3 linked regions of the Daphnia pulex genome follow. The protein of the gene in region 1 purifies or fractionates together with the protein of each later gene. This does not show direct contact. Links are inferred from orthologs where the notes say so. Each region holds a gene or a part of one and is shown on either strand. Other genes may lie near its edges.

What was found.
Region 2: the proteins of exocyst complex component 5-like (region 1) and exocyst complex component 3-like purify together in Homo sapiens (affinity purification with mass spectrometry; 7 studies listed by BioGRID and IntAct, counting the BioPlex papers as one, with this or other methods). This does not show direct contact. The link is inferred for Daphnia pulex from reciprocal best matches to the Homo sapiens genes EXOC5 and EXOC3.
Region 3: the proteins of exocyst complex component 5-like (region 1) and exocyst complex component 7-like fractionate together in Homo sapiens (co-fractionation; 4 studies listed by BioGRID and IntAct, with this or other methods). This does not show direct contact. The link is inferred for Daphnia pulex from reciprocal best matches to the Homo sapiens genes EXOC5 and EXOC7.

The regions. Positions count from the first base shown.
Region 1 is NC_060021.1:6,829,961-6,833,994, reverse strand, and holds the start of exocyst complex component 5-like, read right to left. Parts: upstream 2,839-4,034; 5' UTR 2,728-2,838; coding exon 2,701-2,727; intron 2,646-2,700; coding exon 2,515-2,645; intron 2,455-2,514; coding exon 2,337-2,454; intron 2,282-2,336; coding exon 2,084-2,281; intron 2,025-2,083; coding exon 1,878-2,024; intron 1,730-1,877; coding exon 1,628-1,729; intron 1,563-1,627; coding exon 1,422-1,562; intron 1,362-1,421; coding exon 1,285-1,361; intron 1,219-1,284; coding exon 1,108-1,218; intron 1,047-1,107; coding exon 951-1,046; intron 887-950; coding exon 736-886; intron 671-735; coding exon 563-670; intron 500-562; coding exon 375-499; intron 317-374; coding exon 127-316; intron 67-126; coding exon 1-66. Other genes in the region: acetyl-coenzyme A synthetase 2-like, mitochondrial, read left to right, coding at 3,293-3,394, 3,812-3,941. UniProt on the Homo sapiens protein: Component of the exocyst complex involved in the docking of exocytic vesicles with fusion sites on the plasma membrane.
Region 2 is NC_060017.1:4,105,241-4,109,493, reverse strand, and holds the start of exocyst complex component 3-like, read left to right. Parts: upstream 1-1,427; 5' UTR 1,428-1,579; intron 1,580-1,649; 5' UTR 1,650-1,714; coding exon 1,715-1,804; intron 1,805-1,922; coding exon 1,923-2,071; intron 2,072-2,153; coding exon 2,154-2,294; intron 2,295-2,570; coding exon 2,571-2,718; intron 2,719-2,796; coding exon 2,797-3,010; intron 3,011-3,074; coding exon 3,075-3,475; intron 3,476-3,543; coding exon 3,544-3,690; intron 3,691-3,766; coding exon 3,767-3,922; intron 3,923-3,983; coding exon 3,984-4,142; intron 4,143-4,205; coding exon 4,206-4,253. UniProt on the Homo sapiens protein: Component of the exocyst complex involved in the docking of exocytic vesicles with fusion sites on the plasma membrane.
Region 3 is NC_060020.1:3,980,200-3,984,458, forward strand, and holds the start of exocyst complex component 7-like, read right to left. Parts: upstream 2,827-4,259; 5' UTR 2,725-2,826; coding exon 2,695-2,724; intron 2,559-2,694; exon of another isoform or gene 2,536-2,558; intron 2,480-2,535; coding exon 2,314-2,479; intron 2,218-2,313; coding exon 2,024-2,217; intron 1,960-2,023; coding exon 1,842-1,959; intron 1,781-1,841; coding exon 1,683-1,780; intron 1,614-1,682; coding exon 1,473-1,613; intron 1,408-1,472; coding exon 1,245-1,407; intron 1,182-1,244; coding exon 994-1,181; intron 932-993; coding exon 752-931; intron 687-751; coding exon 443-686; intron 372-442; coding exon 226-371; intron 170-225; coding exon 99-169; intron 21-98; coding exon 1-20. Other genes in the region: palmitoyl-protein thioesterase 1-like, read left to right, coding at 3,563-3,659, 3,725-3,834, 3,893-4,020, 4,090-4,248. UniProt on the Homo sapiens protein: Component of the exocyst complex involved in the docking of exocytic vesicles with fusion sites on the plasma membrane.

The DNA of each region.
Region 1 (4,034 bases):
ACCGTCAAGAGAATTTCTGATCCTCTCAGTTTGGACCGAGACGAAGCGACACACTTTAATACAGGCCTAGATTGGGTTCAAATTATTTTAGCCGAATGTCATATGAAATGTTAGAAGCACAATTACGGGAGATGCAATGACAGCTTCATCTCCTTCTGGTTTGAAGTCTCCTTTCTTTTGTTCTGATTGTAGGGTCACTTTAACGTAACCCACGATGGCAGATAGAGACCGATCGACTCCAATTTCTAGTTTGTTTTCTAGCTGCTCTGAGATAGTTTTCTTTCGTTGTAAACATTCACCATGCTTAGGAGTAGATCTGTACAAACAGCAAATTATGAAATAGGACTCAAACATAAATATTTGAATTAACTTACACCACCAAAGGGATAATGCTATCGTGAAAAAGTTTATCCATTAGATGAACAATGGCGTTGACTTCACGAACTACACCAAAAAAATATAACTCTGGTTGCACTTTGCTTTCTCCTGGCGGTATAGCCTATTTATCAATTAAGGAAGTTAAATATTTTATTCGCCAACAACTATCGATGTAATACAAAACCTGTAGACCGATTTCGAGGGCATAATCAAGAAATTCGTCGATAAGGAACTGGAACAAGACATCCAAAATTTGAACAGCGTTGGCGGCACATTCTGACGACCGTGATAACTAATTTAACGAGGAAATAAAGGTCAATAGTGGGATCGAAGCAGTTAAATAAAGAATGAGCTTACGGAATGGCATCGGATGAGGGCCTGCTTGGTTTCATCCAATAAACTGACGGCGATTTGTTCTGAAAGAAACGTTTCCCCACCATGCGTTTCCCAGACAGCACCGGTTTTTGCTACGATGACTGCCTGCAAATCCCGCCTTAGTTCCTGAATCCTGCAACGTTGAAATTTTTTTTCAAAATGGTGCACGATTAGGAGTTGTTACACAATTCTTTTACCCTCCAGTGTTGATAGGTTTCTTTTGGTGATTTTTGTATTCGTAGAACTTCTTTAAAACGGTAGCACTTCTCTCCTTCAAGTTTCGAATTTCCAAGCTAAATCAATGACGCAAATTATATAAGTCATTTATTGTGTTAGTCGTTCAAAAGGTCTCACCTGATGTATGATTCCAAATAACGCTGAAAGATGTTCTTCACCAGTTTTGATAGAAACGCGTGATCGTTGCCAGTGTCGTAGCGTGCCAAATCAATCGATAACTTTGTTGTCCTATTTTTAAAGAAATTTTTGGGTCAAAATAGGAGAAATGTATGATTTTAAGTAATGGACAATTACCTGGAGTACAATTCATGCAGACGCTTTAAATAAATATCGGGTCTGGATCGATCTGCTAAATTAGTACTTATGGTTCCCTAATAGCATGAGCAAATTTATCGTGTGATTCACTTCTTAAATCAAGTAATTAGCAAAACCTGAAGTTTCCCATAAAAAATGTTGAGGATAAATTTTCCCATAACTTGTTCAGGGTTATGGAAGACTTCTTTCATTTCTCTTGCATTTCGTTCACACAATGGGACAACATCTAAAAATACGTCGCCACTAGAAAATGCACCCTGATCGCAAAAATAAAAACTTTTAATATTCATTCTAAGAAAATACTAAATACTATCGTGTATACCGCTTGGCTTTGCTCAATGAAAGCGTCGATACACTGGGAATATCCCTTGAAGTGGCTTAAAATAGAGGCGATATGTTTCATTTGAGCGCGATCTCCCTTGACCTATAAGGATTTAAATTCAATTAACTGTGTCAACAAATATAGTCGTTATTAAATTTAATAGAGCGAGCGATTGCTTGTGGTTACATAAGAATTCTCATCGGTAAAGCTTAGACGAGTGAGTATGGATTTACATTAAATTCTTAATTACCTGGGCTTTCGCGAACTCCTCAATTAACGAACGCTCAATTTCGTCGTACTTTTGCGCAATTTGTTTCTGCGCACCACTGTATTTGCTAGAAGGCAATTCTTGGGCAACTAACTGTAATTTTTGGATTATGTCTGCTGCTTCAAATAACTGAAAGAACATTGGACATAATGAATACGTGTCGTCATTCAAATATTAAACAAACACACCTGTTCCTTATCGCTAAAAACAGGCGAGAAAGGCCCTCCAGGCTTAATAAATCCATTGAAATGGGTCAGGAGTTTCTGAGCTTCAACTGCACGAGATCTAGGAGTGTTGACATTCTCCAATTGATCTCCTAAGTAAACAACTTTTGTTGCAACATTATTTATCCTAGAGTCCAACTCATGAAATGCTTCCACAGCAGCCTGAATAAGACATGCATTAAAAAACATACTTTACAACAAGTAGATTTAATATTACCTTATTTTTCTCTTCAAGTTTTGCCATTTTTTGCCAATGTTTATTTTCCTCTTCTCTACAAGCAGTTTCAAGTTTATCACATTTTCCCTGTACACGAACCTGAAGAACTTGGAGATGCCTAGAATTTATGTTCAACAATGAGGTGTTTACCAAACGCAGGCCTTGTAAAGTGTCTTACTTTATGGTTTCCTCAAAATTATTCAAGAGACCAGTCGCGGAAAAAGAATCGTCGCTGCCGGAAGAAGAATGTGATACGCCCATAGTCATCCAAGCAAGACGTTCAACGAATTCATTTGGATTAAACGGCTCCTTAACGGTGGTACGGTTTTAGAAATGTTACAAACATTTTTAACACGCAACAAACCTGCTCCATTTCGGCAAGGAAGTCCATGATGGAATTTCAACAAATCACTTTTTTACTTCAAAATATTGTGGTGAATTCCGAGACTGGGGTCATAATCGCTGTCATGTATTTGTATTACTGCAACTTGCATATACTGCGCCATCTATGGATGAATACCAAAACAGAAAATATTTATTTTTTATAAGATTAATAAACAAATATACACAAGATACAGTTATAAATTATTAAACATAAATTCATTTAGGAAACTTCAATTAATAAATACTTTTCTGTTTTAGAAATTAGAAATGTCAAAAGTTAATCTATCGATCTTTTAAAAAATCGATGTTTACAAAAATTGTATGTTTACAGCTGCGCTAAGAGTCTAGTAGCCACTGGCATTCTGTCATTTCCCATTTGGATCACAGTCCTTGGCTGTTGAGTGGACTGGCTGGACTTACAAGTTTCGATGCTCCCTGACATACATTCTAGTTATACAGTGAACACTTCTGCTACTTGAATCAAACATTCATCATACCCATAAGTGCACACAGGAAAATCGCCGAAAACTCTTGTTTAGTGAACGACGGTCGTTGATTTTTGAAAAATTGCAATGGATTCACCTACGGCCAGCGTGTTTAGTCTACCTGAGCTGAAAGATGTTTTTCCTGGCTGTTCCAGTTACGAGGAACTTTACAACTTCAGCATCAATGAGGTTTGTTGGCTTTATTTGTCAACCGTATGCTGCGCCCACGTAGAGCCGTAGACGCTATAGACAACCTTGTGTTACCTTGTTGATTTTGTGTTTGAAGGTTAAAAATAAGGTTGTAGCTAGAGGGACAGATCAAATATTTGACGATGTGGCTAGTACGTGTGTATGCGTGTAAAACAATCGATTATTGTTGAATACGGAAGAAGTTTTGCGCTGCTTTCGAAAATCTTGTTTTCGTGGCGTTTTGCCTACAGCATCCACTAGTTTTCTAATACAGCCAAATGTGGATGAATTGAATATAACTTTGATTTATGAAATCCAGTTATTTCGAGCGCTATGACTTGTTTGAAACGTACTAATGAAAATTTTGTAGCCCTCAGCATAATTTTAGCATTTAATTTTCAATTGGCGTTTTGACAGACGGACCTGTTCTGGGGTACGCTAGCTTTGGAGCGCCTGCGCTGGAGTCGCAATTTTGAAAAAGTCTCGGATTGCGATATGGAGACGGGCTTATTCCGTTGGTTCGTTGGCGGCCAATTAAATGTCTCAGGTACAAATTACTGATAGTGCGTCTATCAGACTGGCTTATCTCCCATAAGAACTAAAACCACTTGTTATTACGAAATAATGACGGGAATTGAGT
Region 2 (4,253 bases), on another chromosome or scaffold:
ATGCTGAACCGGGGGTATGTATGTACGGGGGCCGAGCATCAAAGCTGTTCTCTTTCAGTTTGGCTGGCTGTCTCTTCAAATCGTGTGTCAATCTGTTTGGATCGGACGCAATCTGTCAGTCCAGACAAATTTGACCTTTTCACTATTGCCATTAAACATGACCATCGATTACTGCTTTTTGCCATATTATCCTTTCTAGCGCAAGTAGAATGCTACAATGAATCATTTGCCATCAATTTAAAAGTATAACAAATAAATAAAGACTCCAGTTTGGGTTTATCGTAGTAGGTTATACATGGCGGTTGAACATCCGATGCAATGCTGAACGAATGAATTTACGAGCAGTGAAAAGAACAATACCGCTATTATGCCATAATAACGCCTACGGACAATATGCTAATTAACATTTGATGGAAAGAACAAAGTTTCGTCCTAATTTGCGTAAGATACTCGACGAATTAATGCAGCGCCTACGATCCTACGTGAAACAACAACAGTTTTTGTTCAAGAAATCGAGCATCAGATGTTTCTACAACGAAACAATCGCCTAAAAGTCCCGTGGGTTGCCATCTTTATAAACGATGCGTTAGTTTACATAATCCCGTTTTGTTTTCGCTCTGTTTTTCAGATAATGAGACGATCCCTTTTTTTTAGCAAGTATCTCCTATGTATTTTTATTTACTCGATGTATTATTAATGAACATCTTTGACGAAACAATCAACTTACCACTCTACATTTTAACAGGCGTGCTGTGTTGCATTATCATTTCCGCAAAACTAATTGGTAATTGGCTCAATGCTATTATCCCTTTATATTAAGGCAATTTGTTAGGCTCACTTGTTGTTTTACGCACAAACTATAGGATAAAACATAGTTGGACAACGTGCTGTGTTATAATAAGATAAATATTTGAAATTGGGCATTATCAAAAATCGTGAGCATAACGGGATGACTACCGGATGTGTAATTAACGTATAAAATCGATTTTCGAAAAAAACAAAGAAAAATAAAATGACAAAATGTAGAGTAGGCTACCTACCTTCCCAATCGATCCTTTCGCGTTTCCCCCTTACTAATACGGCGCTACGCCAGCCGTTTTTTTTTTTTTTTTAACTTTTAAAATTTTAATTAATAGATTAACCTTTAGTTACTTAAGAAAACAGTCAGCCTACTCGTTGTTATCAAGTGTCACACCCTACACACAAAAAACAAAAAACACCGTGGCTTTTCCCATACTAAGAAAAACTAATCTATAAGATATAGGTCATAGGGGGAGAAACCGAAAAACGCGAAAGAGATTAATTCATATTTAGGTGGGTGCTGTATTTTGTTAAGATGATTTCAAAGATATTGCGTAATAAATAGGAGAAAAATTAATTAAAATAAACCGGCAAAGGCGAGAAGAAATATTGGAAAATCGATTGTAAGCCCCAAAATCGATCTCTAATGAACGCCCAGTCGGCCCAGTGACGAAAAACTGCCAGAGTGACAAATCATGGAATAACAAATAATAATAAAATATTTATCTTAAATATACGAAGGTGATAATTCTAGCAACCACAAGGAGCGGAGAATCAGGTAATAATTGAGGAATCACTAAAATAACCCAAAACTGAATAACAATTGTGACAATTGAATGTTAAACTAGGTTGTCAACAAAACACAAGTTGTTTGTTGTTTTCTTGGTAGTTGTAGGTTTGTGATAATAGAGAAATGAATATTGAAGTTCTTCAAGAAGAGGCAATGCTCTCTGCTTCTGTTTCATTGTCATCAATGTTGCAGCGCCCTGATCAGCTTGAAAAGGTAAAAGCTCATTTTTTGGATTGTTTCCGTAAAAAAACCTTAAAATGTAAACAACATAATTATATGTTATAACCTGATGTTATGTTTATTTGTTTTGTTTTTGTTTTATTAAATTTAGGTGGAGCAGTACAAACAACGAGTAACTAGGAAAAAAACTTCAGTTGAAGCAATGCTGAAAACAGCTGTGCAAAGTCAACTTGATGGTGTGATAAGTGGGCTGCAACAATTGCAATCAGCATTGGTTGATATTAATGACATTCGTCATAGGTATCAAAGCACATTTAAAAATGTTCACAGATGACTTCTAGACTACTACAATTATTATATTGTGTTATGTTGGCATTTAAAGGTTACATGAAATTGAAGAGTGTGTCACAACAATTCCCACACTATGTGAAAGTGTTAAAAATGTAAGGCAAGAACATGTTGTTTATTCACAATATGCTGTTGCCATGGAAAATTTGAAACATATTTTCACTGTTCCAGAAAGGTAACTTTTACATAGTTTTTTAAATTTTAAATTACTGTTTTTCTTTCAATTGAACTACTCTAACTAATTTTCAATGGCAAAATTAAAAGACATAGTTTATAATCTGGGATACATTTTAGACTTTAGTCACTAGCTGCAAGTTATTGGCCAACTAAACATGAAAATATGATGCTAAATTAACTTAGAATTACCAGCTTAAATATAAGAAACTTAGAAATGTTATTATTTCATTATCAATATAGAATATAACCATTAAAAATCCGACTTTTGTTCTAGTGTCGATAAAACTCGCCAGTGGATATCCGAAGGAAAACTTCTTCATGCGCATCAAAGTCTTACGGATCTAGAGAACTCACGTGATGACTTGCTCTACGAACTCCACAGGTTACCTAATCATTCTTTGCAAGATAAGCAAATGCTTAAGGTCTGAACATATTTTCTATTTTTATTCGCACGATGTAAATATGTAATACTCATTTAAGGAATTGTCTCAATCCGACAGGCGTATTTTTCTGGAGTGCAACAGTTGTCAGAACAATTGGGAAAGCAGCTGTGGTTACTTTTGGGTAGATCTTTGAACACAGTTCGGAAGGAACCGCAAGTGATTGTTACAGCAGTTCGAATTATTGAGCGGGAAGAACGTGCGGATGCTTATGCGGTGCAGCGTCAAAAGCAAAGTGGATTCTTGCCACCGGATAGACCAAAAAGATGGAAAGGTGATTTTCAAAATGTTAGTGCACATTTAACACATTTAATCTGTCTTATTATATCAACTTTTAGCAAGAGCACTGGAAGTTCTATACGATGCGGTCGTTGAAAGAATAGAGGGCAATCAATTCGAAGAGAGAGCTGACAATAAAATGTGGCTAGTGCGTCACCTTGAGGTGACTCGTTTGCTGATTATCGAAGATCTTCGTGTGGTGAAAACTCTGTGCGCCCCTTGCTTTCCTCCTCATTGGGATATCGTCAATCAGTTTTACCAGAAATATCACACGAGCATCAGTAAACACCTCGAAGAAGTGATTACAGCTGGCCTGGTTGGCAATGAATTTGTTACACTGTTGTCATGGGTGCTACAGACATATCCAGGTCCAGAGCTTCTCCGACACCAGGATGTCAACATCGACCCTACTTCCTTAGGGCCAATTTTGAGCGATTCTACCATAGAAAAGCTTTTCCAGGTAGCTCCAGAAATTTGTCATAATCTGCTCCTTTATACGTAACTTATGACATTTGTACATTTATTTAGGAATATATAAGTAATATGGCCTCAAACTACAACGACTGGATGCAAAAGACTGTTGATGCAGAGGCCAGGGATTGGAGACGACCCATCGTTCCGGAATCGGACGGCGATGGTCATTATCACACCGAGTCGATCGTTATCATTTTTCAAGTAATTATTCTTAGTTTCTTTTGGCAAATCGTGATGTAAAACGATTATTCACTTTTCGTTTTAACTCATTGTTTAGATGGTGGAGCAAAATCTAAGTGTGTCGCGTACAATAAGCAACGAATTGATGATGCGGGCATTGATTTTGGGACTGGAACAAATCACGCAGTATGGAGAGATGTACCGAGAAGCGATAAATCTTTTCAAAAACAAACACTTTGAAGATAGAAGCCAAGTATTTGCGTCGCAATACAGTTACATTTAGTGAATTACTAATTGGTTCTCTCTCTTTCAAGGTGCCTTATTTTACACACTACATGATCGCAATTATCAACAACTGCCTGCACGCGATGGAACTTTCTCAGCAAATGAGATCTCGGAATGGGAATAAGGGTGATCAAAGTGGCACTTCATCATTTTTCAACAAATTCGAAATTCTTAGCCAAACTTACGATGTAAGGCCTATAACCTATTACTAGTTTAAAGAGGACCCAAACTAATAGTGATTTGAAAATCAGAGCCTTAGGAATGAGGCAGCTGGATTTTTGCTAGATGAGGCTTTCCTG
Region 3 (4,259 bases), on another chromosome or scaffold:
GGGCTAAGACCTTGTTCCAACTGTAGGTTATTTAATTAATTGAATAGTAACGGTGAGTTCAACAAAAAATTCAAAGGAAAGGAACAAAGTATCAATACCTTTGAGAATAAAGCCTCTTCTGTTCGTTGATCATTTCTCGGTAAATCGGCTCGCATTCTGGTTCCACAACCTAAAAACACCAAAATATGTGATTACATTTACTTTGACTACAATTTTGTGCTTTACCTTCAACAGGTCTAGTAGGCCACTACGCTGTAGTGCGCTTAACAAATAGTGGCTGTTATTTAATCGAAAAATATAGCGCAAAGAAGAATCGCTGTACGCATCGCTTTTAGTAACTAAAGTTAAATTTAGTTGAACCAACACTTTTTCTAAAAAAAAAAGGGTAATTTGTTAATCAAACCAGATTTTAAGTTAAACCTGAACAAGAAAAATGAATTACTGATATAAAGTCCTAGTAAAGCTTTGTTTCTCTGAGGTTTCGGCCAGGGTTGAGTGTGTACCAATGCGTTGGAATAACTTTGATCTTGGGCGAGAAGCGGACCGACTGTGTCAGACAAATCAGTCAACTGGCCGAGAAAAAGAACGACATTGCTCGTCATTTCATAGACCGTGCCATCTCTAGGCAATGGAGCTGCAGATTCAGAACGCACAGATTCTGCAAAGTCTTCAAGGGCCTTGCCGCACTAATCAATCACAAAATAACACAGTGATAAAAACGAATCTAAATTATGGTGAGTTATTAGCTTACGGTTGTATGGAGATTATTAACCATTGCGTAAAATCGTGTGCGAACAGAAGAATCGCATCCTTCCAGCAATTTATCACAGTCGCCTTTAAAACACACTAAATGGCGTAAGGCAGGAAAAAGAAGCAAAACGGGACCGAACTCTTGACGAGAAACACTTCGGCGCGCTCGGCCGCTTAAGCTCTAAAAATTAGTAAAGTACAAGAATGACTAACCGATGAAATTGAATCAAGAATATTTCCAACCTCGGCATCGTGACAGATCATTTCCAATGCGTCTCTGAGAATGATAGACAGAACAGCTTTTTGATGCGGCAAAGGGACAATACCCAACATAAGTCTCAGTTCACTCTGCAGTAGTCGCAAAAGTGCCGTGAATTCGGTTAAGAACGATTCGATTTCGTGTTCTTCGACAGCATCTTCTTTTATACTGTCTGAAGAAGAAACAATAATGATAATTGGGAAAAAGTAAAATAAATTTAATTTCGTCTTCTCACCCGCAGCGCTTCTCCTGGGGCCCAAAGCCAGTCCTGTAGAGCTTTCCAACGTTTGAGAAGCTTTCAAAAGCATTTGGTTGGCCTTGCGCTCAAGCATTTGCTGTAGTTTCTTAGATGTCTTTCTACTTGGAGTGTCATAACTGGCTTTGACACCTGATTTTGCCTGAAAATTATAAAAGAAGTTCATTATATATTGCCTAATAGTAGTCACAATAAATATTAGATTACCAGCAATGTAGCCGTTCCCGACATGGCAGCTACGGGACTCACGCCTTGGTGACTCGATACCCCAGTAGATGAACTTCTCAAATGATCACGAAGGCCAAGAAGGGTTTTCTGCACAGTATTTGCGCGAAACCGAGCGTAAACCTGGAAAGTAAATCAGTGACAAAGTTTATTTAATATGTCGTGGATTAATGATTGATGATTACAAGTTACATTCATGAAGTCATCTTCATTGTGAGTTACAAGCCAATCAGCTATTTGCATCAAATTGTCTTTCACATCTGCAGAGAAGTGATTTATACTTATCTCCTCTGGAATGAAAATGGAACATTACATTGAATTTTCAGGTAGTTATAGATAAATGGGGTTCACCTTCATCATTTGCTAGAGCTTCCAAAAGTGCTGTAGCAGGAATGGTTTGACTATGTTTTGCTAGGTGTTCTTTAAATTCGCTGATAATATTATCTTTGCCAGTTTCAAATAGGCTCATCTAATACAAAAGTTGTTTTTTAAGTTTGTAAGGTATGGTGATTGTAAATAAAAATGAAACTTACAACATTTTCTAACTCCACACTCTGTGGATTATTTCTCTCAAAGAAATGCATAGCTTCTTGCAATCGACCGAGGGATTGGAGAAAAATTTCTAGACCCTGACTTGAAGGGCTCTCTTTTATGACAGGCTCAACTTCCTTGCTGACACTGTAATAGCTAATGACATGATCCAAAGAGGCTAATGTTTTATCAATGTCTATAAACACGAAGAAAGTTAAAAAGAAATTTAGATTTTGTAAATTTAGAAATACAAGAAATATTGATATTATATGAGATCTCATTAATAATTTACTTTCTTGTTTCTGTTGCAAATTTTTTGTCTCATTGTAGACTGGTAAAATGGTCTTTTCAAGTCTCGCAAGCCTTTCATCAAATGAAGTCAAAATATTGACCATTCCATTAGTAAGCTGAGAACTTCTAGAAGCAGCATCTTGAAGAAAGACTAGTCCTGTCAGCACCTTTACCAATCATTAATTAAACCCATTATTTGTTTGATACAATATGTCAATATAACCAGTCATATATGTGAGTATCCAGTCACAGCAAAGAAATTTGAATTTTGTAACAAGAAATTGAGTTTAATATTCAAACCTTTAAAATTAGTATTTAAAACAAATAAAATCAAATGATATAAAGAAGAACTAAGTAGGCCTATATAAAACAAAAAAGTAACCTTTTCATGTTTATGATTAAAATCTGACATTTTGCTGAATTTCTGTCAGTTGTTTCGTTTCTCGCCATCTACCGGCTAGAAAAAAACGGTCTTTTATTTCGGTAGGGTAGACGGTAGGTAAATAGGTAATTAACAAAAAAAAGTAAATTCCTCGATTGGTGCGTCAAGTTGAAGTTGGACAAAGAAAAAAATCTAAAAAAGACGTCGCCGTCTATTATGGAAGAAAATATTCAACGTTGAGTCCATTATAATCGCAAGCACATGGGAGCAATCCGAGCCCCACTAAAATGTGGCTAATGACGAAATACGGCTCATAAAGAAAAAAAGCGCTCAGATATACCAGTTTGTTTTGGTAAAAGGTAATCTGAGGTAAAATGGAAATCTGATTTTACTAAGTTCTAAATGGGTTCTTGTTTTCACGGAAGTTGTGTCGTAGAAAAATGGGAAAACTCCAAAACGGTGGTGACTCGTGAACTATTTTGCCGTCACCCTTTCGATGACCCGCAGTTCTACGTTTTTTTGAAGCGACTTTAAATTATTTTAATAACCTTTTTACGATTTTGTTGTTTTTCCTGCAACATTCTTTTTTTTTAAGATCGCTTGAATAGCCCTCTATTGAGATCGATTATGAACCAACCTGGCCACCTGTTGAAAATAGTCAACACTAACCTTGAAAAAAGAATAAATTTTGAAGCCAGCCCAGCACCAAGAAATGTCAAATACACAAATGTCAATGTCAAATGTCAACGTGAGAAACTCGTGCATGGTTGTAATTCAATTACGTAACTGCTTTGTCTAAATTCCAAGCCAACTTATTAGCTTGACCCCGTAAGTGTATGAGTAGTCCTCCTTGGGTAAAGAATCAAGAATGAAGTACACACTTCCCTTAATGTGTGTTTTCCTCTTATTAATAAATTGTCAAATGGTTTTATCAATACTACCAATTGTGATCTGGCACGGATTAGGTAATCACATTTAAGGTTTCTACTTCATTCACAATTTCATGATAAATTTTGAAATGGGTATGTAGGTGATGTTTGCTGCAATCCATTGAGTATTGGGGGCCTACAAAAATTTATACAACAACAAATTCCTGAGGTCTATGTAATTTCGCTGAAGATTGGCAAGACCATTCGTGAGGTATTAATTCAGTATAGCTCAATTAAAAATTTACACCAACAATTCCAATATTATGTAGGATTTTGAAAATGCATACATCAAGAATGCAAACGATCAAGTTGAATTTGTGTGTGATCTGATCAAAAATGACCCTAAATTAGCATTAGGATATCATGGATTAGGGGTATCTCAAGGGGGGCAGTTCTTGTAATTATATCTTTATTGTTGAATAGTTAAGATTATCTTTGAATCATTTTAATTTTCTGCTTATTATAGGAGAGCTGTAGCTCAACGTTGCCCTGATCCTCCGATGGTAAATCTAGTCACTTTAGGCTCTCAACACCAAGGTGTATATGGGTTACCCCGTTGTCTAGGAGATGATGTCAAATTTTGTGACTATGTTCGCTCGCTACTTAATCATGGAGCTTACAAAAAGTTTGTCTACT